Drosophila melanogaster: one gene and its partners. The protein of the gene in region 1 interacts with the protein of each later gene in a pairwise test. Each region holds a gene or a part of one and is shown in the gene's direction. Other genes may lie near its edges.

What was found.
Region 2: the proteins of CG7745 (region 1) and CG14074 interact in a two-hybrid assay, tested with the Drosophila melanogaster proteins (one large-scale study listed by BioGRID).
Region 3: the proteins of CG7745 (region 1) and ova interact in a two-hybrid assay, tested with the Drosophila melanogaster proteins (one large-scale study listed by BioGRID).
Region 4: the proteins of CG7745 (region 1) and CG31365 interact in a two-hybrid assay, tested with the Drosophila melanogaster proteins (one large-scale study listed by BioGRID).

Annotation. Positions count from the first base shown.
Region 1 is NT_033778.4:11,305,765-11,310,991, forward strand, and holds CG7745 (uncharacterized protein), read left to right. Parts: upstream 1-2,114; 5' UTR 2,115-2,182; coding exon 2,183-2,333; intron 2,334-2,391; coding exon 2,392-3,761; 3' UTR 3,762-4,065; downstream 4,066-5,227. Other genes in the region: Fpps (farnesyl pyrophosphate synthase), read right to left, coding at 1-47, 108-334, 395-756, 816-1,027, 1,101-1,195, 1,497-1,678; nompA (no mechanoreceptor potential A), read right to left, coding at 4,887-4,903; CG43114 (uncharacterized protein), read left to right, coding at 5,092-5,152, 5,210-5,227.
Region 2 is NT_037436.4:18,863,440-18,867,931, forward strand, and holds CG14074 (uncharacterized protein), read left to right. Parts: upstream 1-2,785; 5' UTR 2,786-2,822; intron 2,823-2,880; 5' UTR 2,881-2,899; coding exon 2,900-3,910; 3' UTR 3,911-3,992; downstream 3,993-4,492. Other genes in the region: CG6865 (uncharacterized protein), read left to right, coding at 282-348, 817-1,155, 1,469-1,764, 1,827-1,982; Dysb (dysbindin), read left to right, coding at 4,441-4,492.
Region 3 is NT_033779.5:10,226,730-10,233,644, reverse strand, and holds ova (ovaries absent), read left to right. Parts: upstream 1-1,952; 5' UTR 1,953-2,362; intron 2,363-3,689; 5' UTR 3,690-3,694; coding exon 3,695-3,940; intron 3,941-4,033; coding exon 4,034-4,231; intron 4,232-4,298; coding exon 4,299-4,460; intron 4,461-4,518; coding exon 4,519-5,784; 3' UTR 5,785-5,885; downstream 5,886-6,915. Other genes in the region: eEF1delta (eukaryotic translation elongation factor 1 delta), read right to left, coding at 84-164, 986-1,072.
Region 4 is NT_033777.3:23,122,811-23,128,377, reverse strand, and holds CG31365 (uncharacterized protein), read left to right. Parts: upstream 1-1,955; 5' UTR 1,956-2,035; coding exon 2,036-3,116; intron 3,117-3,182; coding exon 3,183-3,316; intron 3,317-3,376; coding exon 3,377-4,081; 3' UTR 4,082-4,416; downstream 4,417-5,567. Other genes in the region: CG31457 (uncharacterized protein), read left to right, coding at 598-1,273, 1,333-1,670; CenB1A (centaurin beta 1A), read right to left, coding at 4,749-4,935, 4,991-5,567.

The DNA of each region.
Region 1 (5,227 bases):
TCCAAGTTCCTTGTACAGTTCTTTCACTCGCTCCACTTTAGCTGGTTCTGCAGGTTAATATTCAAAAGTCAATGTCTAATTGTGCGGGTTTGCTAAGCTAGTTTTACCTTCTTTGCCATAGCAATCGACCATGATTTGCTTTTGCTCGACATTGGCTCGCTGCATTGCCACCACTGCCAGCCACGAGCACTTGTTGTCCTGAATGTCGGTTCCAATTTTACCAGTCACTTCCGGATTACCGAAGCAGTCGAGGAAATCATCTTGAACCTGGAAAAAGTTGCCCATTTCTAGGAGAATGGTCTTCGATTGACGGAAGGCCTCTGCGTCTTTATAGCTAAACAATAGAGCGGAAGATTAATAAGCGGAATCTTATATATGTATGGCCATTACTTACCCAGCCAAGTGCAAAGCAAGTGCGAATGGAAGGTAGAAGGAGTAATAGGCAGTCTTATTTTCGACAATTGCTTTGTAGTTTTCCATTGTGAATTCCGAGACACAGCGGTTCGAGTTCAGTTGGTCCAACGATTGTCCGCAGGTAGTGATGTATGTGATTTCGTGGAAGAGCTCCATTAGGGCGACATAGCAGTCCAAGTGGCTGAAGTGCTTCTTGAGAATGGCATACATGGCGTTTTCAATCATAAGAGCATCGTTAATGGCAGTCAGGCCCACGTTCTCCACCTTGTGCCAGCAGGGTTGGCCGCGTCTGGTGGTGCTGTTGTCCATCACATCGTCTGAGATGATGAAAAAACTTTGGAGCTGAAAAGATGATCGATAACTTTGTATTAGGAAAACTATTTAATGCATAAAACTCCTACCATTTCCACACACCAGCCCAGATACTGGGCGAGCTTTATGTTCTCCGGCGTAAGATCCTGGGTGGGCACTAGATTCTTATACGTGAGCACGGTGAGGATGCCGCGGTTCTTCTTGCCCCTGGGCACATTGTACTGGAGGACTTGGGCGAACCATTTGGCTGCGTCGCTGCAATTGTATGCCTTCGTCACGGTGGTGATGTCACGCACAAGATCTGCACATCGAAATATAATTAGCATTAGTATTTGCATGATAATTGTTACTGGGCATAAATAAACAAATCTCACCTGGGAACACGGCCATAAAGTCGCGACTCTCATCTTTCGACACCGTGACGCGAGCGGCAATGGGAACCGAGTGATTTTGGAGCGTCGATAAGGTTCTGTGGACAAAACAAAAGTCAAGAACAATAGAGCCCATAACTGACACCACCAGGCAGGCACAAATACATACACACACACATGCACGCATCTATGGTCTACGTGACTGCATAAGCGGCTCGATACAAACTTTCTCCCCCACTTGAAATCAAGAAAAAAAGACCCCGAAACTCCTTTTCGAAAATCACGCCCAAAACAGGCCTCCGATACATGCATACCATGCCCATGCCCATACCGGTCGAAATGTAAACAAAACAAACAGGCAAGGCAAAGGTCAAGTGCGAAAACCGGTAGATTGATTACCTGCTAGTCTTCTTCAGCTTCTGTTCGTTGACCAGTTCGGTGGGGAGGCCGCCAATGGTGTCCATGGACTTGATGATGGGCTCTGCGTTGACCTCGTCGCTGGTAGAGATCAGGCGTTGCAGGCGCAGCGGGCTGGCCAGGATCCGCTGCTGCGGCAGGAGCATACGGGCCAGTTTAAACATTTTTATTTAAGATTATCGGCAGGTAACTATCCGCTTCACAAAACGGCAATTCAACTTCGGGTACCAAATTGCCAGTGTGACTGAATCTCGGTTCGCAAAAGAACCCACCTTAAAATTTCAAATAACCATAATACGTTTATAGCAACTATTTTATAGCTGACTTTTATTTTTCGAGAATTTTGTGAAGGTAACTTATAAGTTAAATTTTTAAACATTTTTATTTAGTAAATTCAGGAACAGCAAATGATTTACTTTTGCTGAAATTATTAATTTTATTGCGTGTTAATTAATTAAATGCATTACTATATATAAATCAAAATGCTGACGAATTTAAACATGATGCAAATTGTCGAATATATTTCGATATCAATATCTTCAAATTATATTTGACACTCTGCTGCTACATTTTCGGTCACACTGTTTCGATGTCCCATGAACAGTGTTGGAAATGGCCTGACATACACCAAAGGCAAATTGGCAGCTGAAAACACGAATTAAACTAAAATGATGGATGAGCAGCTAATTGACGAGGTAGCGCAGCACGGAGTGATCTACAACCGGCAGAAGTACTACCTCAACGGCGGCGCCAATGGTGGCAAGTACGAGACGAAGGACGAGGCCTGGCAGCTGATTGCGATGAAGCTGCGCACGGATGGTGAGGAAGACGCGCTCCTCCGGCAGATCCTCTATATAAATGTTGCCCTCCTTTCCAGTGGACACGTGCAAGAAGCGGTGGAAGTACCTACGCGAACGCTACGTGTCGCAGCGGAAGCAGGGCGATCCACCTGTCTACGAACACCTGTCGCGTCCATACCTGGAGAAAATGAAGTTCTTGGACCAGCACATCCAGCCGCGCAAGTCCTACCGCCATGTGCCGAACTTCCTAACATCTCCACAGTCCGCCAACAGCTCCGGCTACAACGAATACCAGGTTGATAAGTCCAATGGCTCCATGAAGAATGTGTCTCAGTTTGGCAGCTCAGGGCAAAGTCATCTTTACCACCAGCCGGATCAGCAACACGCAATGAGTGCTCTGAGTAACGTTGCTGCATCTGCGCTGGAAAACGTCAATGGCCAGGTGAAGATCGAGGCGGACCAGGTGTTCAGGGATTTTGCGGCTGCCGTGGCCTCACAGCAGCTCCAGCACATATCACAGTCACAAATGCAGCAACAGGCGGCGGCCGTTGCAGCTGTAATGGCTGATTCCTCGCAAGGTTATCAGGATCAATACAAGGATGGCTCCGTGGGCATGAACGGGGCCCAGAACAGCGCTGGCAGTCTGACCTCAACATCATCCTCGATGAAATCACCGCTGTCGTCGCCGCTGCAAGGAATTGGGGCAGGATCCCATCATCCTCAGCAGCAGACGCAACAACAACAGCAGCAGCAGCAGCAACAAGCGCAGCAACAGTCGCCGGCATCTGAACAGCAGCTTCCGGTGGTACATTCCTCTTCCAGCGCCACGGGCGCTTCCATCGGCAACAGTTCCACTCTGCAGATGCAACAGTCACATGTCTATAACCCCAAGGGCGATGGTCTAGACTCTTCGTCATCGAGCCATTTCCATATGAAGAAACCCCGTATTCAACTAAATGGCAATGCCCATAACCAGATGACCAGCAATGGTAGTCACTTTGGCAATGACTCGGACGACGAATCCGATGAGAACAGCCATGATCTGATGGAGCCGCAGGCTATGATGCAGCAGGAGAATCACTACAGCAATTCGATGCCCATGCAGCGGGGCAATGGAAATGGGAATAACAGTAGCAGCAATAGCGGGAGCAACAATCCCAGCGGCAATAATAGCCACAACAACCAGCAGCAGCAACAGCACCAGAACATGTTTCCGTCAAACACGGACTTCCTTTTCCAGTTATACCAGCAGTTCCCACATCAGGCCAGCAGTTCGCATCCCGCAAACTTCGGGAAATTCCAGGCGCCGCCCAATCATCCGGGTGTGCAGCGGTTGTCTGAGCATTTGCTGGGAGAATTAGTCACCACGGAACTGCTGAAAATGAACAAGGAACGGAAGAAAAGTGCACAGAAACGGATCCTAGAAATACTATTCTTCGACGATTAAAGGGCTAGCTACTAGGTATTTGTAAATAATGTAATCTATTATCCTTAACTTATGTTATTCGTTAGACGGTTGTCAGATAATAGTAATTGCATCGCTTTGGTCAAATTTCCCACCAATGAGTCATTTGCAAAGCTCTACGTTCTACCGAACACTTTTCAAATGTGCTAGTCAAGACCAGCAATTGGGATTCCATATCTGCATTAATTTATGTTTTTTTATATATGTTTAAGAATATAATGATCGGTTTTAATTTATTTAAATTCTTATTAAAGTGTACTCAATGGAAAAGTGTCTTTCCAATGTGAAAATTTGCAATTTATGTGTATTTGGGCATTTTTGTTAAAAGGGGTCAGGAATGGATGCTACGATGCTTTGTGGTAAGTTTTCTCTGGATGTGATCCATTTTCGCATGCTGATAGTGGAATTTTCGGCACGAAAGTTTACAACCGCATATGCGAAAGTAGTGTAGTCATCATAAAGAAAGTAGTTCCTAATGATATGTAAAGCTTCGTGACCCACTGAGGTCCAATTTCAGTTATGTTCAGTAGCCGTCCTGCTGCTTGATTTATGAGTGGCCTTTGACCAACCCTCCGATTACCCACAAAGCGGGATGCAATTGCAACTACTAAGACCCGCTGGCTACTGTCTGCAACGGAAACTGCCACTGCAACTGGCAATTGGCCTAGCTCGTTAACCCTCGACTGGCCAAGCGGCCATTCAAAGTGCCACTGCAATTGCAATCCTGTACGTTGATTAATGACCGATCAGCTTTGCATTCCTCTGGGCAGAACGAAAGTCTGTGGTGATATGAATATGTTTAGGCTTTATTGCGTTTCATATCTTAGCTGGTAGAGAGAATAATTACTTGCTTGTGTTTTCTGTTGTTAGGCTTAGATAAATAAGATCATAATATTTGGATACTGGTCAGTGGTGCAATTCTTAGGCTACTTAATGGACCACCGAATATTCGAGGGTCCCACGCATTTGGCTAGCGTATGTGTTTACTTGTCGGATTGTCTTTGATTAACTGAAGTTAAAAACCTTTAGCTTATTTACAACTAATCACAGGAGGCTTGGAGTTGCAATCTCAGACCTCCTGATTGTCCTCGGACTCGGCCACCATGGTCAGACTTCGCAGCGATCTGTGAACGAAACAAAACACGACCAAGCGTTAATCAGCTAGCTTAATATTATTATTCCAAATATTTCGTAAGAGAGCCGGCGGAGTGATGAGTTCAGATTCATTTGACTGATATGGTTTGGTTTATCGCCTTCGCAGCCAGCCATCCAGCTTGCCAGCTTATTAGTCGAAATCTGACAACTCATCAGCATGGACTACCTACGCGTCTGTCTGCTTATTTTGTTAGTCTGTTTAGTCGGTGCCCATGCAAGTGAGTCTGATTTCAGTTGGAGATTGTGCCTAACTTGGGAGTTAACTTCTGGTTTAGTTACAGGTGAGATGCCCA
Region 2 (4,492 bases), on another chromosome or scaffold:
AGTGCAGCGCAAAAAAAGCTCTCAGCTGAGGCAACAGGTGCCAAAGGCCCGGCTGCGACTTCCGTTTGTTATCAGGCCGAGAGAGCGAGCTTTCCGGCTAATCCGCATAGAACTCCGGACGACAGTGAAGTAAGTCAGTGGAACGGAGAGGCGCTGGACGCCCAGACACCTATATATAAATTAATTGCCGCACAGAATATTCGTGGCAGTTTCGTTTAAGCTTGAGCCGTGCTTAACGGGTTTTTTTTCGGGGCTAAGAACACTGGTTGTGCACACAGAAAATGTTGAAAATCGTATTCGTAGTCGCGGTTCTGTCGCTAGTGAAGTGTGCACAATCCCAAATTGCTTGTGAGTTGATTGAACAAATGTGACGAAAAGAGTAATAAGTCAAATATAATATGAAAAATAAAATAATTATAGTTCCTAAATTAGGATTCCTGGGAACTACCTTTTAACTTTTAACTTGTGTTTAATATTCCATTCATTTTTGCAGTCCTTAATATTTTAGGTTAGTTTATATCAATTAAGAAAGCATGATCTTTTAGCATTGTGGATTTATATGCTAAATTCACTGGATAAATCTAACATCTAATGTTCCAATTGCAACAGTTTATGCTTCCCTATTTGATAAGAACTCAACCTACAAATATTTCAAGATTCTATCAAAACTTGTATAATCATAAAACGTGCATAAGGAAAAGTTTACTAGATTATGAGAAATATAAATAAATGCGTTCTGCTTATATTAACTAATTATTTTCAACACTCCTTATCATGAACTCACGCAAATTGAAATTCCTCTGACTCCCATGACAGTTAGCAACCAGCCATGCTCGGTTCGAAATCCAAAAATCGTGGGAGGTAGTGAGGCGGAGCGCAACGAAATGCCCTACATGGTCAGTCTGATGCGTCGTGGTGGTCACTTTTGTGGCGGCACTATCATCTCGGAGCGATGGATCCTCACGGCGGGACATTGCATCTGCAATGGGCTGCAGCAGTTCATGAAACCAGCTCAAATCCAAGGAGTTGTGGGTTTGCATAGCATCAGGGAGTACCTCAACGGGATTGGCAACGGTCCGGATGCACTGAGGGTGGACTTCAAGAACATTGTGCCCCATCCGCAATACGACTGCAACGATGTGAAACACGATATAGGTATGTGTGTTTTTTAAGGGGTAATTGCAGGTTCAATTATTTTCCATATGTACAGAACTGAATCATAAATCAACAATATGACATTAACATGACATTATTTTTCAGTAAAATGAATAAAAAATTTTAATCTAGTAAAACACCATTAAAAATATGCGCTTAGGTTTTAAAAAAACAAACAGAAATACATAGGTAGGAAATAGTTTCAACAAAGGATATTAACATTAACCATAATGAATCAGAGACGAATCAAATAATACTTATTATTCTTAGTATTCCTTAAGCTATTGCAAATTGGTATTTTATTCTTTTACAGCCCTCCTGGAGCTGGTACAGCCAATCCGATTCTCTTCACACATCCAGCCCAGCTGCGTGGGATCCGAGGAGGGGCACCGAAGTCTGGAGCAGGAGTACGGAACAGTTTCCGGTTGGGGCTGGACGCACGAGAACCAAGCGGAAAACGATCGATCCGATGTACTGCGCAAGGCTACCGTTAAGATCTGGAACAACGAGGCGTGCGAGAGGTCCTACCGATCCTTGGGCAAGAGCAATACCATTGGAGAGACACAGTTGTGTGCCGGTTATGAAAACGGTCAAATCGACTCGTGTTGGGTGAGTATTCACTTGGCTGATACGGCACACATGTTATGCTCCGGGTTTACTTACCTTCACAGGCGGATTCTGGCGGTCCGCTGATGTCCAAGGAGCATCATCTGGTGGGCGTGGTGTCCACGGGGATCGGCTGTGCACGTCCAGGTTTGCCCGGAATCTACACGCGCGTCAGTAAATACGTGTCCTGGATGCAGAAAGTGATAGACGGCAGGAAATAGTTGGCCAGGAATCTGAAACATAAAGATTGTGATTCACCTGTGATATTAGTCGTACTCGATTATGTGATCTTCTTCAATAAACGTTACTTTAACCAACTAGAAATTCAATTTATTGCGGCCGGTCGTCATTTTTTAAACTTTAATCGATGATTGTGCCAATCGATATCGTTGGACTAATTTGTGGTATTTTGCAGAAAAGATTACTCTGACAATATTAATCGACAAGAATATCGCTAGTGTAGGAGGAACGGAGGAACGATGGAATTTTGAATAATTTATTCTTTCATTATTGAATTCAAAAAAATGCAATAACGTTTAAAAAAATATCTAACTACCTATGTACGACTTAAGTTCATAGGACTCAAGAAAGTATATGAAATATGCACTTGAAAACTTGGCTCCCCACGCTTACTGTCCCACCTGCTGCCCCGCCCGACCGACTGTCACCCGTGGCCCAACGAATGTCTTGACGTCTGCCCCGCCGTTTCCCTAAAGAAATGTCCTTAAAAGTGGTCACGCTCTACGAGTGGAGAAATTCCCGAAAATGTGGGAATAGTTAGTAAGATCTTTATTTTATTTTTTGCAATTCACCTCCAAATAACGAAAAGAAATAAATAAATAAAAAACGTCCCCATGTTTTGATTTCCACCGTTCCGTCATCGCCGCGAACTCATCGACGCTAATTTAACGCACATACAATAATCGCTTTATACTTAGTATTTTAAAAATACTTATAAGTAGCACTTACCGTCCGCGGTATTTTTTGTTTCGCAGCAATTGGTATTCAATTAAATGCCATAAACAAACACAAAAAATGGAAATGGACGCAGACCTAACAAAGTAAATATTTATATTACAATCCGATATATTTTTAATTAATTTGATGCTCTCACGTTAGTCAGGCGATTGCCGAGCTAATGCGCGAGATCGAAGGTGCAAATGCCAGTGTCAGCACCTCGAAACAAAGCGAACGCAAAGTGAATCCTCTGGGCAAACTAAACAAACGCTTCTTAGGCCGCACCATAAACACCGCGATTCGGCATAATGATAGAGAAAAGGAGCGCACACAGGCAAATTGCCGACAGAAGCTGCAGGATCTGGATGATGTGCACGAAAGGAGGAAGTCCAACTACTTTTACAGCCGCGATGCACCCAGAACTCAAAGTGTTGATAGAAGCAGAAGTTCCAGCAGAAGGCGCAGCAGGAGCCGCCACAAAAAGGCCAAGAAGCATCGCAGCCGAAGAAGAACTAGGAGCAGCAGAAGTTCAAGCCGCAGTCGAAGTCGCAGCAGTTCACATCGGCGAAAAAAGCGCAAAAAGAAGGTTAAAAAACACAAAAAATCACACAGAAGACGAAGAAGCAGCCAGAGCAGCAGCGGTTGCGATTGGGAATCCGCACCCAGCGAGTCGTTACGTATACCCCCGCCTTCAGATGTGTTCCTAAACCACTCCAAGCAAATGGCTCTTGCAGTGGCCATGGCCTATGGTCAATTACTAAACCCGAGCAGCCAAAAGAAAGCCAGCGAGTCTAAGGAACACTCCTCCTCTCCTATAAGCGATATATTCCGGGAACTTATGTCCGACGAAGAGGTGGACAAATCCGAGAAGCCCGAGGCCCTGTCCATTTCATCCAGCGACGAAGAGCCAAATGTTCTCACCATTAAAGTAAGCTCGAGCTCCGAGTCCAGCGGCAATAAATCAAGCTCGGACTCAGATTCAGAAGCAAAGAACAGCGTACGCAGCTGTATAACCCTAGAATCTGGTGATAATAGTGATATTGAGATAATTGAGTACCATGAAGAGCCCAAAAAAAAGGCATGTGAAACTGAACCTGCGTCTGAACCTGAATATCCGTCTCAATCGGATAGCACAAATCAACAAGTGGACGATAGCACAGCTGTCACTACAGTGGACCTGACCGAGGATTAATTAGGCTAAACTTTAGTTAGAGAATCGTTATGTAAGATCAGAATGAAATTTTAAAGGAAACAAACTGAAGTTGAACCAAACTAAGAATATTGTTTTTATATTATTATTACAGATATAAGCTCTGCCATAGATAGATTCATATTTGGTTGGTTTTTTTTTAAGTTATGTTTAATAGTAATATACTAAATATACCACCGAATGATACCCTGTTGTGTCTGTTTATAATATCAACTTTGGGTTCATTTTTTTATTTAAATTATAAAATAAAAATGCAAAATTTGAAATGTTAATAATACTTATTAGTTTTAGTAAGTAATAAAAACCACGTGCCAGAGCTCTTGCCATAGTTGATATGCCTCTCGTGTACGGCAACAAACTGTTGCTCTCTCTCTCTCTCTATGACCGATTTTCTCTCAGCACCTGCCCGAACAGCTGATTCTTTATTTACCACTCAATTTTCGATGGAAAACGCCAGCGCGAAGACAATTAGAAATCGCTAAGTTAAATAAATAGAGATCCGTTGTCGCAAGATGTTCGGGAACCTGAAAAAGAAGCTTAGCAGTGCGATCCAGGAGGGCCTGG
Region 3 (6,915 bases), on another chromosome or scaffold:
ACAAAGTTTTAAAGAAACCGAAAGAAACCTAGGAATGTGAACAAATCAAATGTTGAAATACAAAGATTTATCACAATAGTTACCTTTTCCAGCGAGTTCTGTATGTGTTCCCTAGCCTTTGCGATTTCGCTTACTAATGGGCTGTAGTGGCTGCGATCAGTTACCTTTAAAAATAAGACAACACCATTGATTACTTGTGTGAACTGACATTTGGTGTATCGAATGGTTGACAAAGGATTCTAGGGATAATAATTTTTAAGCAAAATGAGATGTTTTATGTACGGGCATCTACTTCAAGTCTGTTGTCATGCAAGCATGCTGAAATACTGATAAGCCTCACTCTAATCAGCCCAAAAATTGTACGTAGTTTAAATATTATACAATGCAGTGCTATGCATTTTGTGTAGTATATTTGTGTAGATAGAATACAACGTGTTTAAACCTTTACTTAACTATAGTATTTCCCTGAATTTCAATAGGTTTTAACTTTGTATACATCGATTTGTTTTTGGCACATTTCCATTGAATAAACGAATTTTGTTGTGTAGGTGTCATGTTAAGTACTTATGTTTTGCATACTATATTTTGTATTTATACCAATTGCCAAACGGAAAGTGTATTCAAAATTTGGCTTGCCAGAGTTAGTTTTCTCTCACACTCTGTTTTGTATACACTTTACGCACATAGTTATATTTTTTAAAAGTGTTAAACGTTCACCTGTTACATACAGCTACAAGAATATACCAATGTAATGTGCAATATGAACACAGCAATTGAAAATCAAAGGCAGATAAATATAGAAATCTTTTAATAGATCATTCTACGTATGTATTGAAGTTTAGAACATGTGTGTTTCGGCGTCCTTGCTGTTAAAACAAACAGATTTGCAATAAACATTGCCGAAACCATTTGAACTGATTTACCGGCCACGTGAAACTGGCTAACAACTTAAGTACTTATGGCTGTGATTGCTTAGAGATTTTACCTTCTGGGGACCCTCGTAGAATCGCTTCTCGGCAAGATCGTAGCGGCTCTTGTCAGCCCAGAATTTGTCCAATGCCTCTACTTTCATTTTTAGTCTTTCGCCCGCAGATTTACTCAAACACGTTGCACAATTGGCTGAACAATACGATAACACGTTTGAAAGGGAATGCAGGTATATCGATATCTACGCCATCGGATTCGTTTTTTATTGCTACTGAAACGATGGAAATGAAACACGACATTTTTATTTCAACCAAATTTTTAACACGTTCTCATTCTCATACGAACTGCTTTTTGATGTGCGAGTAAATAAACAAATTTATTGCAATTTTTACAAAACGTCCATAAATTGAAACACTTATTAGTGCCCGGAAAGAAATAAAAAAAAAGTTTGATCTCAACGTAGCAAAATGTAAGTTCCACGTGGCACCTCATCGATGTTTGACGAACTTTTGCACAGGCCTGCGGATCAACATGTGTGTATACTTGTCATCAGTTGATTTATTGCTTGTGATGGGTTGCAACGAAATGTTCACCACAATTGTCGTCGTTGCGTGAAGAGGTTTGATGAAAGAGGGATACAGAGGGATACTTTTTTTATATATTATCTTCCACTTAACTATTTAATGCTTCTTCTTCTCTTTAACAAAATTTTTATATCACGGACCTCGTCCTTGTGTGCTACTAAAAAGCTAGAAAAAGATACCATAATAAAAAAAATGTTTTAAAGTTTTTTAAAGGTATACAACTCTCCTTTACTTTGTATAAGAGATTAACAGATGTTTGCGTCAGCTGTGTTTGATGGAATCGAATTAATTCGATGTCGATTTTACACAAAAATTCCAGTACATGTATTTTATTTACAGTAAAAAACTTTTTTAAGAGCAAAGTAAAAGTGCAACATCACATTTTGTTCCATTTCCGCGTTTCAATTTGAAGACTGGGTAGTATTTGTCACAATTATTTCAGCCATTTAGCAGTCAGTTCTCACTTCGACTATTCGATAGCAACTACAACAAATGGTTTTTTTACGAAGAAAGTGTTGTGTACTGTAACTATGTTATCATATTTGTGATTGTAGATCTCGGTGTCTACCGTTTTGTTAATCATTGCGAATTCTTGGTGCGTACTGATGGTGATTCTATTTTGATCGGTTTTTGAGACTCCTTTCTAATGGATTCACTCAGTGATATGTATATGCAGAGAGCACTGAGCATTCCAGAGCACTGAGTTTAATGTATTGCCATACAAAATCGGTGTCGAAATGTTCGTTATCAACCAGTTTAACGTATAAGTGTGTACTATTCAAATTATATTTCAAATGATGCTGAACATAGTAATTTTCGTTGAGTGTATTACATACACTCGTCTAAATCAGGTGGGATATTTATACCACAGCATAATTGTGATGACTCCATTTAACATATGAATATTTGTGTTTATGTATAATTATCTAGAAGTGCTTGTGTGAGTGTGTTTACGTATAAAAATGTCCCAAGTTATGCAGTAAAAATTTTATTTGCAAACTTATTCCACTTCCCTTGGAATACATATGTGTGTTTTTCGTGTGTGTGTGCGTGTGTGTGCATGTACACATATGAGAGCAATTCGTGGTTTTTCAGTAAGGAAATCTGCAGTTAGACGCAAGGTTTATGAGCTGCCCCTTTTGCAAAAGTGAAACGCTGGTCGTGGCTCGCCACAAGAATATATAACTCGTATAAACTGCATAGTTAGCATTCGCGAAGCGATATCGCACAAACCTGTAAGTGGGAACATTCCACTTCATGTCAATTTCATGAAATCGCTAGGCGTAACCACTAGCTTTGGTTCTAAACCAAAGTGGCAACGCCTTTGGCAAAACAAGTATTTTATAAAAAAAAAAGTTTAATCATATTGCTGTACTTTATTGGTACAATGTGTATACGATATATAGTACCTAATAAAGGTACATTTCAAGGATTGTAATTTTGCAAAAAAAAATCATCGATACCTTTATCGATTGTCCCCACGGACTTGACAGTCTGTATCTTCGCCATTTTGTGGTTATCACTCGCCATTTTTTAATGTGACCGTTCATAAAATGGTCCTGCAAAAAAGTAATGTTTGCGGTCACTAAACTAGAGATTTCTAGAACAAAAAGGACGTAAACAGTTATGTATTCTAGACCTTGATCCCTAGGTGTCACAATGTACGTGGCAATTCAATTCCAGGGTAGCTTTAATAGTACCTGAGGGCTTTACGATTATACGAACAAATACGGACTTACAGTCAGTTATGGCTGTATCGACATGGCTAGTAATCCGGATCAAGGCTGTAAAGACTTGTTAGTTTCATATTTTTACGAGTAACTGGCCTTCATCAGGACGGACAGGCAGATGATCATTATATACTTTTCAAGGACTATAGAACAACTATTACACGGTACCTAATTGAGTTTACTCATCACCCTCAGTATTCTCTATTGATCTCGACGTTCATGAGGACGGACAGACATACGGACACAGCTAGATCCATATACTGCGCCCCTTACTTATCACAACTGCTAATAAATATTTGAAATCGTTTGTTTGGTTTGGTTTTAGGAAAGTTTAGTAGTTTTAAATTTTTAAGTAGATATGTTATACATATGTAATCGTTTTAATCGGTTATCTTGGAAAACTATCGATAACATGGCAATAAAATATAACATTTTAATTCACTTGCAGTGACAATGGATGAAAAAGATAAAGCTCAACACAACATGATATCCAACCTACCACTTTTGTTTGCGAACGGATATCCAACATCCCTAGAAAAAATTACGGAGTCCCAGTTAGAAAATTTTATTCCCTTCATGGTGCAATGCTCTTTAGGACACATAAACTTACCAAAGAAAATAGATTGCAGTGAACCAGAATGGTGGCCCGAAAGCGCTCCTTTCGAGATTCCGCTCAAAAAGCCGAAAGCATTTGTTGGGGTAAGCTTTTTTCCCTTACCTTTTGATTTCTATGGCTTATATTTAACATTCACCCCCATAAATGGCTAATATATACCTGTATCTATTTTACAGAATTGGATGGAAAAAATGAAAGAAATTGTGGTTATATGCTATCAATTTCACAAAAGCTTATTTCTATTAAGATTTTGTAATGATTTAGCTGCGTATGAACACGCGAGCTTAAGATTCATAAACAATTATAACTCAACAACTTCATTGTATGACAGGAGAAACAACAAACTGTTGGTTACATTTCGAAATGAAAACATGGTAAGCCAAGCCTACTTTGAATAATTGGGTTTTAAAATTAGTTAATTCTGAATTGGTTATTTTGCAGTCATATGATAGACAACAAAAGAACAGAAAGTGCTTGTTGCTGCAAAAGAACAACAGTTCCATTAGCGAAAACGTACAGCATATGATGGTTGAGCCACCACCTTTTGATATCTACCTATGTGACAACTGTGATGCCGAACTTTATTCTAAAGAAGCTATACTCGTAAGTTGATTGCCAAAGATTGTCAAAGTTAATAGTTAATAACTCTATTGCATAACAGGAACACGAAAACATTTGTTGCATGGAGGATGACGTTATACTTTGTGATTCCCCTGAGCCAGATAACAAAAGTGATGGGAAAAACGAAGATATCGAACAGCGCAACGCCTTTCTCTTAAACTTTAAACTGCAACCCAAATTCTCCGATAATAGTTTATCTAAAGAGAAACAGAAAACATATTCATTCAGCGAAGAAACATCAACGGAAACATCAAACAGAAAGAGGCGTTTACCATCGCGGAGAAATCGAACAGTTCATTCGTTTAGTAGGTGTTCGTTTATCCCAATATCATCACCTGCAGGACAGCAATTGTTAAAATCGACAAAACAAACAATATCAATGGATTATATTGCGGAAAGACAGGAACGCCTGGAACGCTTTTGTTACACTCCATTGATCAATAAATCAAATACCAAGCAAAAGTATTTTGAAAAAAAAACAAACACTACAGTGCATTGTACATTTAAAAAGTCACATGAACACAATTATCACATATATTCCTTTCCGCGGCGTCAATTTGTTAAACGCAGGGACACTACTGAGAACTTTTTGTTTTTGAACTCTCCGCTGATTAAACAATGCCGTCCAATATCAGTCAGATTGAAAAAAATATCCGAACACGTAATGGAAGAGCAAAATCACACTGCAAATACAAAACTCAATATAAGACTAACGCGCCACAATTCGCTCAACTCACACTGGAGAATTTCACCCACAAAGGAAGTTGTTGTTGATACAATTGACTTATGCTCCTCGGACGACGATGAGCAACAAGAGCCAGCAATAGGCTCGCCCAAAAGACTTGGCTCGGATGCACTGACTGTAATAAAACTTACACATAACAACAGAAATTTGTACAGTAGCCGCGTCGTCGAGCCAAGTAAATGTGCTCCAGAGCCAGAATCAGTAATAGTTGATAATTCGGTTAAGCCCCTACAGCAATCTTTATATATTTATTCAAACTATAAGGCTAATTCAGTAATTAGTCGCTGTACCGTAGACTCGATAGCCAATCATTCACTGGTTGGTTCCCTGAGTACATCGAATACTTTTGCTGATTCTGAGGGACACAGAAAGGAATACAATCAGGAAAACTGCAATTTTTCTAAGAACTTGGTCGCACTCACAGACTGGTACGCTCATTCGGCTAATTCGAAAAAAAGCACTACAAATCAGACTACTGAGAGTAGTACGTTTGATGCGATTTCCGCGGCTCCGCCTTTCAATGGCACTGGGCGTATAATTTCCATTGATTTAACTTCTTAGACATTTTAATCCATAGTTAAGTTAAGAAATTGTTATTTTACAAGAAAACCTAAACTAAGAATTACCATATATGAATAAATAATTTGTTTAAATACTTTTATATATAATGTCTAAATTCATTTTCTCTGCGTTTTAAAGAAAAGACATACTGTAGAGGAACCCTACTGTTTTGGGATCTCTATTACCACGTATAGATGGTAATCAGCATATTTTCCATCCGTTTTCTTCATAGTTCGAAGCGTTAATCGATGATCTGGTTGTTTGAAAGCATCGACATAAAGTACACGTAAATAGTACATGACCTTCAAAAGCTTATTTTTTTTGGTTATGAGTCACATCATAATTTTATTACGTCATTAAAGAAAGAGAGGGGACGTCAGGGTTAATACAAAGTAGCATTAATCCCATGATTGATACTTGAACCAGTCTTTTCGGTATGTACCTCAACCCAACGTGGGCTTGGCCCTTTGTAGAGTTAACCATCACCCCGCCTATTTTAGGCGATTCAGCTGTACGCGTCAGCTGCTTTTGGTTTGGCATATCTAGTTTTATATCGCATTTTCCATTCATTCCGATGGGATGAAGAATTTGATATAATTTAGACCATCCCAGATGTTTCTTTCCCACACTGTTCCACTCGATGCATTCTCACTGAAAACGTCTTTCAAAGAATACCACAGTAGTCCAATTTATGTAAGCCAAAACATATGAAAGACAACATTTTAAATGTTTATTTTATCATCATATGAAATTTCTCGGTCGCAAACGAAAATATAAATGTTTTCCACCGGAATAGAAAAATATCGGTGATCACAGCGATTATCCATATATAAAATGAATAAAATGGATGGATAAATGTCTTATAAATTTGGTATTCTTTTAACTTAAATACATAGGTAAATATAAAAATTTATTTTATTGCTTATCTTATTCAACCTCAATATAAATAGAAAAAAGCCAAGACATCATCACTGACTGCGATATTATACAGCCAAATAACTGAATTGACCGATTAAAATGTGGAAGTGTACACGGTGCACCCTGTATAATCGCGGATTGCTTGCTTTCATATCTATGAATTAGTTTGGTATGTAAAGTCGTATACAAGAAATGGTGTTTGAAACCAAAGCG
Region 4 (5,567 bases), on another chromosome or scaffold:
GTTACTGTATATTATCATGGAATTGAATTGCATAATTTATTGAGGTGCGGCGGCGAGTTCAAGCCCTTTGATATAATATATATCGTACTTTGTATATAGAAGAAGCATTATAGTGACTGAATATCTTATTGTAATTGTGTATATAATACTTAATAGTTAACTGCGTATTTATACTTAATATTTAATGAAATATAAAGAAATTGTTTGATAAATGAATGTGTGTTATTGCTGCATTTCAGGTTATTCAAATGAGCGCTATAGTATCGTTGTAAAATTTTGACTATTTGAAATTCTCCCGCCAAGCGCCTTGCTGAAATACGGGCACATCAATGGCAGAGCAGCCAGCCTTGAAATACTAAAATGCATTCTCTCAACCGCATGGCCACACTGAAAATATCGATAACAAATCGGCTAGACTTGTTGATGTTTCCTAGTAGGAAATTCCTCCGCTTCCAATTTTAGTTATTTGTCTTCAAATGTTTTTTTGTTTCATATTCTAAACTGGTTGCTTGGAAAGATTGCTAGATTGTCCATCATTCCGAATCGTGCCTAATCAGGTGTCCGGCTGCCACGCTCCGAATTGCCTTGAAATTCAACATGAATGTTTGTCGCCTGTGCTTGTCGAAGGAACCCAATTTCCCCGTTTTCGGTGCAAATGGATCGACTGCTCTGCAGATAATGGTCTGCACATCGCTGGAGATCGAGCCCGGCGACGGTCTGCCACAGCACATATGCACCATGTGTCGGCTGCAACTGGAGGAGATGCACTGCTTCCGACGACGCTGCCTCGCAGCCGATCGCAAATTGAGGCGCCACAAGGCGTTGCAGCGGCAGGGTGTCAAGTCGCAGCTGAGTGAAGTGGAGGAGGAGCGGGGCTCCGGGGAAGGATGCACGCAAACTGGCTGCGCCGAGAACAATGCCCAGTGGCGCCAGCAGGCCGCCCAGCTCATTAGCAGCGAGATCGACGCGTATAAAAAGGAGCTGCTCAGCACTTGCAAGCAAGCTGTGCGGGCGGAAATCGAGCTGGAGCTGCGGGCGGAACTCGAAGAGGTCATCATACCCGAAGCCAAGCAGCAGTTGCGACTGAGCGTTCTGGACGACGTGTTTGTCGAACTGGAACGGTACTTTGTGCGCAAGCGCAATGAGGCGACCTATGAGATGAAGATGAACTTAAGCAGTCCGCTGCCTGACGAACAGACCGCTGGCTTCTACGAAACAGACATGGGCCAGGAGCTAAGGGAGCAGAGCGATAACAGCGTGGTGGAGTTACTGGGTAAGACCAGCCCACTTACTTTGCAATTGCACGACTTATATATTTCTCAAATGTAATAGACGATGAACCAGAAGCCAGCAGACAGCCAGCTGCAACGCCACTAGTTGCTGTGCCCATGGTTGAGATCAACATGAACGACCCGCAGCTGAGTCATCTGCGCAACGACTATAGCAAGGACACCTTTCTGGGTGCCAACACAACTGCCTTAGAGGATGTAAAAACCCCATCGCCGTGTCGAAAGAAAGTGCGCTTTATGAGCCCCAAGCAGACGACCGATAACCTGTGCCGAAAGCACAGTTCCTTCAAGACAAAATGCAGCAGTTCGTACGCCGATTTCAAAAGTTGTGTGCGCTGTCGTCTAAGAGGAGCGGATAAGCTAAATAACACCGTGACGTAGCCACGTAACAACGAATTTAGTTTAATCCTCTATATTATAAGAATAGTACCTTTTTTTGTGCACGCATATTTGACTAAGCCATCACCTATTTTAATTGTCATTGTATTCTATTAAACTTTAAATATGCACATTCGGTATGCATTGGATTTGTATGAAAATCAATACCTTTAAACCTTACATTAATAAATTAAGTTATGATACGTTTATGGGCCGTATATATCAAATTGTTTATTTACGAACAGTGTGACTGTATTGCTTTCGTTTCGAGAGGAGGTATTTTTAGCGAACCTGTCTGCGGTCACATTGCTTGCGATGCAGAGACGCCACCGAGTAAATACGTTGATTTACCAAAAATAGACGCCTTCATGGATGCACAGCCGTCGTATCCCGATTTGGCGACCCTGTGCCGCCTTTGCCTCAAGGAGCACCAGGATGCGTACGCGATCTTCGACGAGGACGACACCCAGCTCTCGATACCCGTGCGCCTGATGGCCTGCGTCGCACTGGACGCCAAGGCGACGGATACTCTGCCGAAGAGGATCTGCCAGGAGTGCCGCTATCAGCTGGAGAAGTCATTCCTGTTCCGGCAGCGCTGCCAATGGGCGGAGAAGAAGCTTCGCAAGCATATCCGACTTCTGGGTCTCGGGAAGCGAAGCCGCGTCTTCTCCAAGGATCCGGACGATTATGACGAGGACGAGCTGGAGTTCGAGGACTCTATTGCCTTCATCGAGGTGCAGGACAAAGTGCGCAAGCTTGAGGACGAAAAGTGGCGAGAAGATTTTAAGGAAGAACAGGCGGCGGAAATGCACAAACGGCTGGTCAAATCTCGTCTAGAACTTCGAGCGAAACTGACCACCGAACTGCGCAAGGAACTAGCGGAGGAGGTGCGCAGTGAGGTTCGCAAGGAGCTGGCCGAGGAGGTGCGCAGCCAGGTTAGAGATGACCTGCGAAACGAGGTGAGCGAGGACATAAGAAAAGAGCAGCTGGCCATGCTGTTGGGCGAATTGGAGGTGTATCTTACCGAGAAAAAGGCCGGTCGGTGGGAGTCTTTGGATGGGTCCGAACCAGAGACCAAGCCGCAAGTCAAGGAAGATGCCTCCCCTTCTAGGTCAAAAACTAAAGCTCTTCCAAAGCGACGACCCAGCTTGGTCGACGCCAATCTAAAGGCGACAGAGGCCAGGAAGGATGCAAAAGAAGAGGAATTCATATTGGGCTGCAATACCGACCCCGCAAATAATAGCGATGTAAACATAGATGGCCTCGAACTGGACGAGGAAGTGCCCGCGGAAAGCGGTGAAGACTTCAGGGAAATCAACATGGTTGGATCAGATGTAGTGCACACAGACAATGGAGAGATTTACATCATAAACTCTGCCAGCTCAGAGGATCAAAACCAGGACTCCACTCCCGAATTTGACCAGGACAACGGAATCACCTCCTATAACAGTAAGTGGGTATAATTTGGCAAAAAAAATGTGAAAAAATTTTCATTTCATTAAATTCTTTGCTTAGTCAAAGAAGACGGCGAAATTCAGTTCAGTGGCGAAAAGCCAGAGGAAATCGAAGACGTGGTCGTGTTTAATCTGGGCGAGGAGATATCTCAGGAGCAACAGGTCTTCAGCTTCCATGAAAATGTCATTATAGTGGTAACTAACCGTGTGATTTTAAATTGAACTCGAATTCAACTTGGATCTTATTATCTGTAGGAAAAAGAACAGAACGATAGAGATGAGCAGACGCCCCTCAAACGAAAGAGATCGAGTGAGTTGGTGTTCAAGCAGGAGTCCAGTTGTCCTCAACCAAAAACCGGTCGAATTACGGACACGGTGAAGTCGTTCCAGTGCCATTTGTGCCCGGTGGCATTTCCTACGCAGAAACTTCTGACGCGCCACCACAACACCCACATTAAGGGACTGAAAAGTGGAAAGGGCGGCACGCTCAAGTGTCCCAGCTGCGCACTGCAACTGTCGTGCGCCAGCTCGCTCAAACGCCACATGATTATCCACACGGGCCTGAAACCCTTCAAGTGCAGCGAGTGCGAACTGTCCTTCTCCCAGCGCGAAGTGCTCAAGCGTCACATGGACACCCATACGGGAGTAAAGCGCCATCAGTGCCCCCAATGCTCGAGCTGCTTTGCCCAGAAGTCCAACCTGCAGCAGCACATTGGCCGCGTGCATATGGGCAACTCTCGGACGCACAAGTGTCATCTGTGTCATCGTAGCTTCAATCATGTTTCGGGCCTCAGTCGCCATCTGGTCACCCACGCTGGCGTCATGTTCTCCTGCAAACAGTGCGGCCGTCAGTTTAACGATCGCAGTGCGGTCCAGAGACATGTAACCACAATGCACAAGGTGAAGAACAAGCTCACAGACTACATATCCGAGACGAACGAGTTTCAAGCTGTGGCCTAGAATAGTCCCTGGACATGTTTTACCAATACACCGCAGATTGGACCACCATGTTTTACACCTGAAGAGACCAACTTTGATTGATCTGAATATTTTACAACTTTATTCGCGAACCTAGAGTGCTCACAACAGTTGGCACCAAAAATCATCAACATGATAGCGTTAAAACATTTAGAAACATGCAGCATTAAACAGTTTAGCAAACAAATACAAATCGGAACATTTGGAACAGCTCTGTAACAAGATACATATAGCTAGACGTACATTTTACAATATCGTTTAATAAATACCACATAAGACGATGTACAATTTTATAGGCAAATATACGTATTTTTAATAAACTCAACTGCTCTACGAATACTTTAAACTTAAGCTAATCGCCAAAAACGGATTCAAAATGCGCCTAAGAGAAAACGAACGATCGTGCCTGCCATTCGAATGCCAAATGCAATGAATAATATTTTCTTGTATAATCGGAAGCGCTTTTCAAATGAGATTACCAAGGGAAACAAGCCCGCAACGACATCCTTAGAGGTCGAAACCGTTTAACATTCCTGGTTAATGCGTTATAAAGCCAATAACAATCCAATATCACGCTATCCTAATAATTGGAACAAATTATTCCATAATATCCAGTAAGGTCCTAACTCTTGCGGCCCTTCTGCCACTGCTAGTCGGAGTTTGTAAGCGAGCTGCGCTGCGATTCGAGTGTATTTGAGTCGTGCCGCTGGCGCAGAACTCGCGTCTGGCTGGCTGGTAACTTGGAGAAGTCCTTCATTACGTTCTTGTACGTCTCATCTTCGCCATTGTACTCGTCGTTGGGTCCAATCTCGTCATTCAGTTGTGTCAATCGGAGTCTGAAACAAGAATGGTTATGTATCTGCCGGATTGAAGCTCTGCTTTCTTACTCACAGCGTTACAATGTCTGCGTTTTCCTGGTCCACTGCAATGTCCAGAGCCTTCTTTCCGTCACTGGAGGAGAGGTCGTATGCAGCTTTATGCTTCAACAGCAAATACACTTGGGCGATGTGACCCTTGGCCGTTGATATGTGCAGGGCGCTGTAGCCCATCTCGTCCACAGCATCGATGGCGGCTCCGTTTAGTAGCAAAAACTCGCAGGCCATCACGGAGCCGGAAATGACGGCCTGGTGCAGAAACGATCGTTGCCGGTCTTGGGGATTTTTCCACATCTTGTCGGCACCCAATGCGAAGGCCATGCACATCACTGGTAGATTGTGCACCACCGAAGCCATGTACAGCAATTGATTGGCGTCTAGCTGGGAGAAGGGCAGTTCCTCTGGCGACTCCGCATCTGACTCGCCATCGGTGCTCTCTTGATCGCTGCCCAGAATGCCGGGAGTCTCTAGTCTGTCAAGAGCCAGGTCATCGCCGATCACAAGCAAATCGTCGCGTGAAATGCTTAGTGACATCGAGGGAATGTTGATGGATTCATCATCATCGTCATCTTCCAACTCGTCGCCGGTTTTGG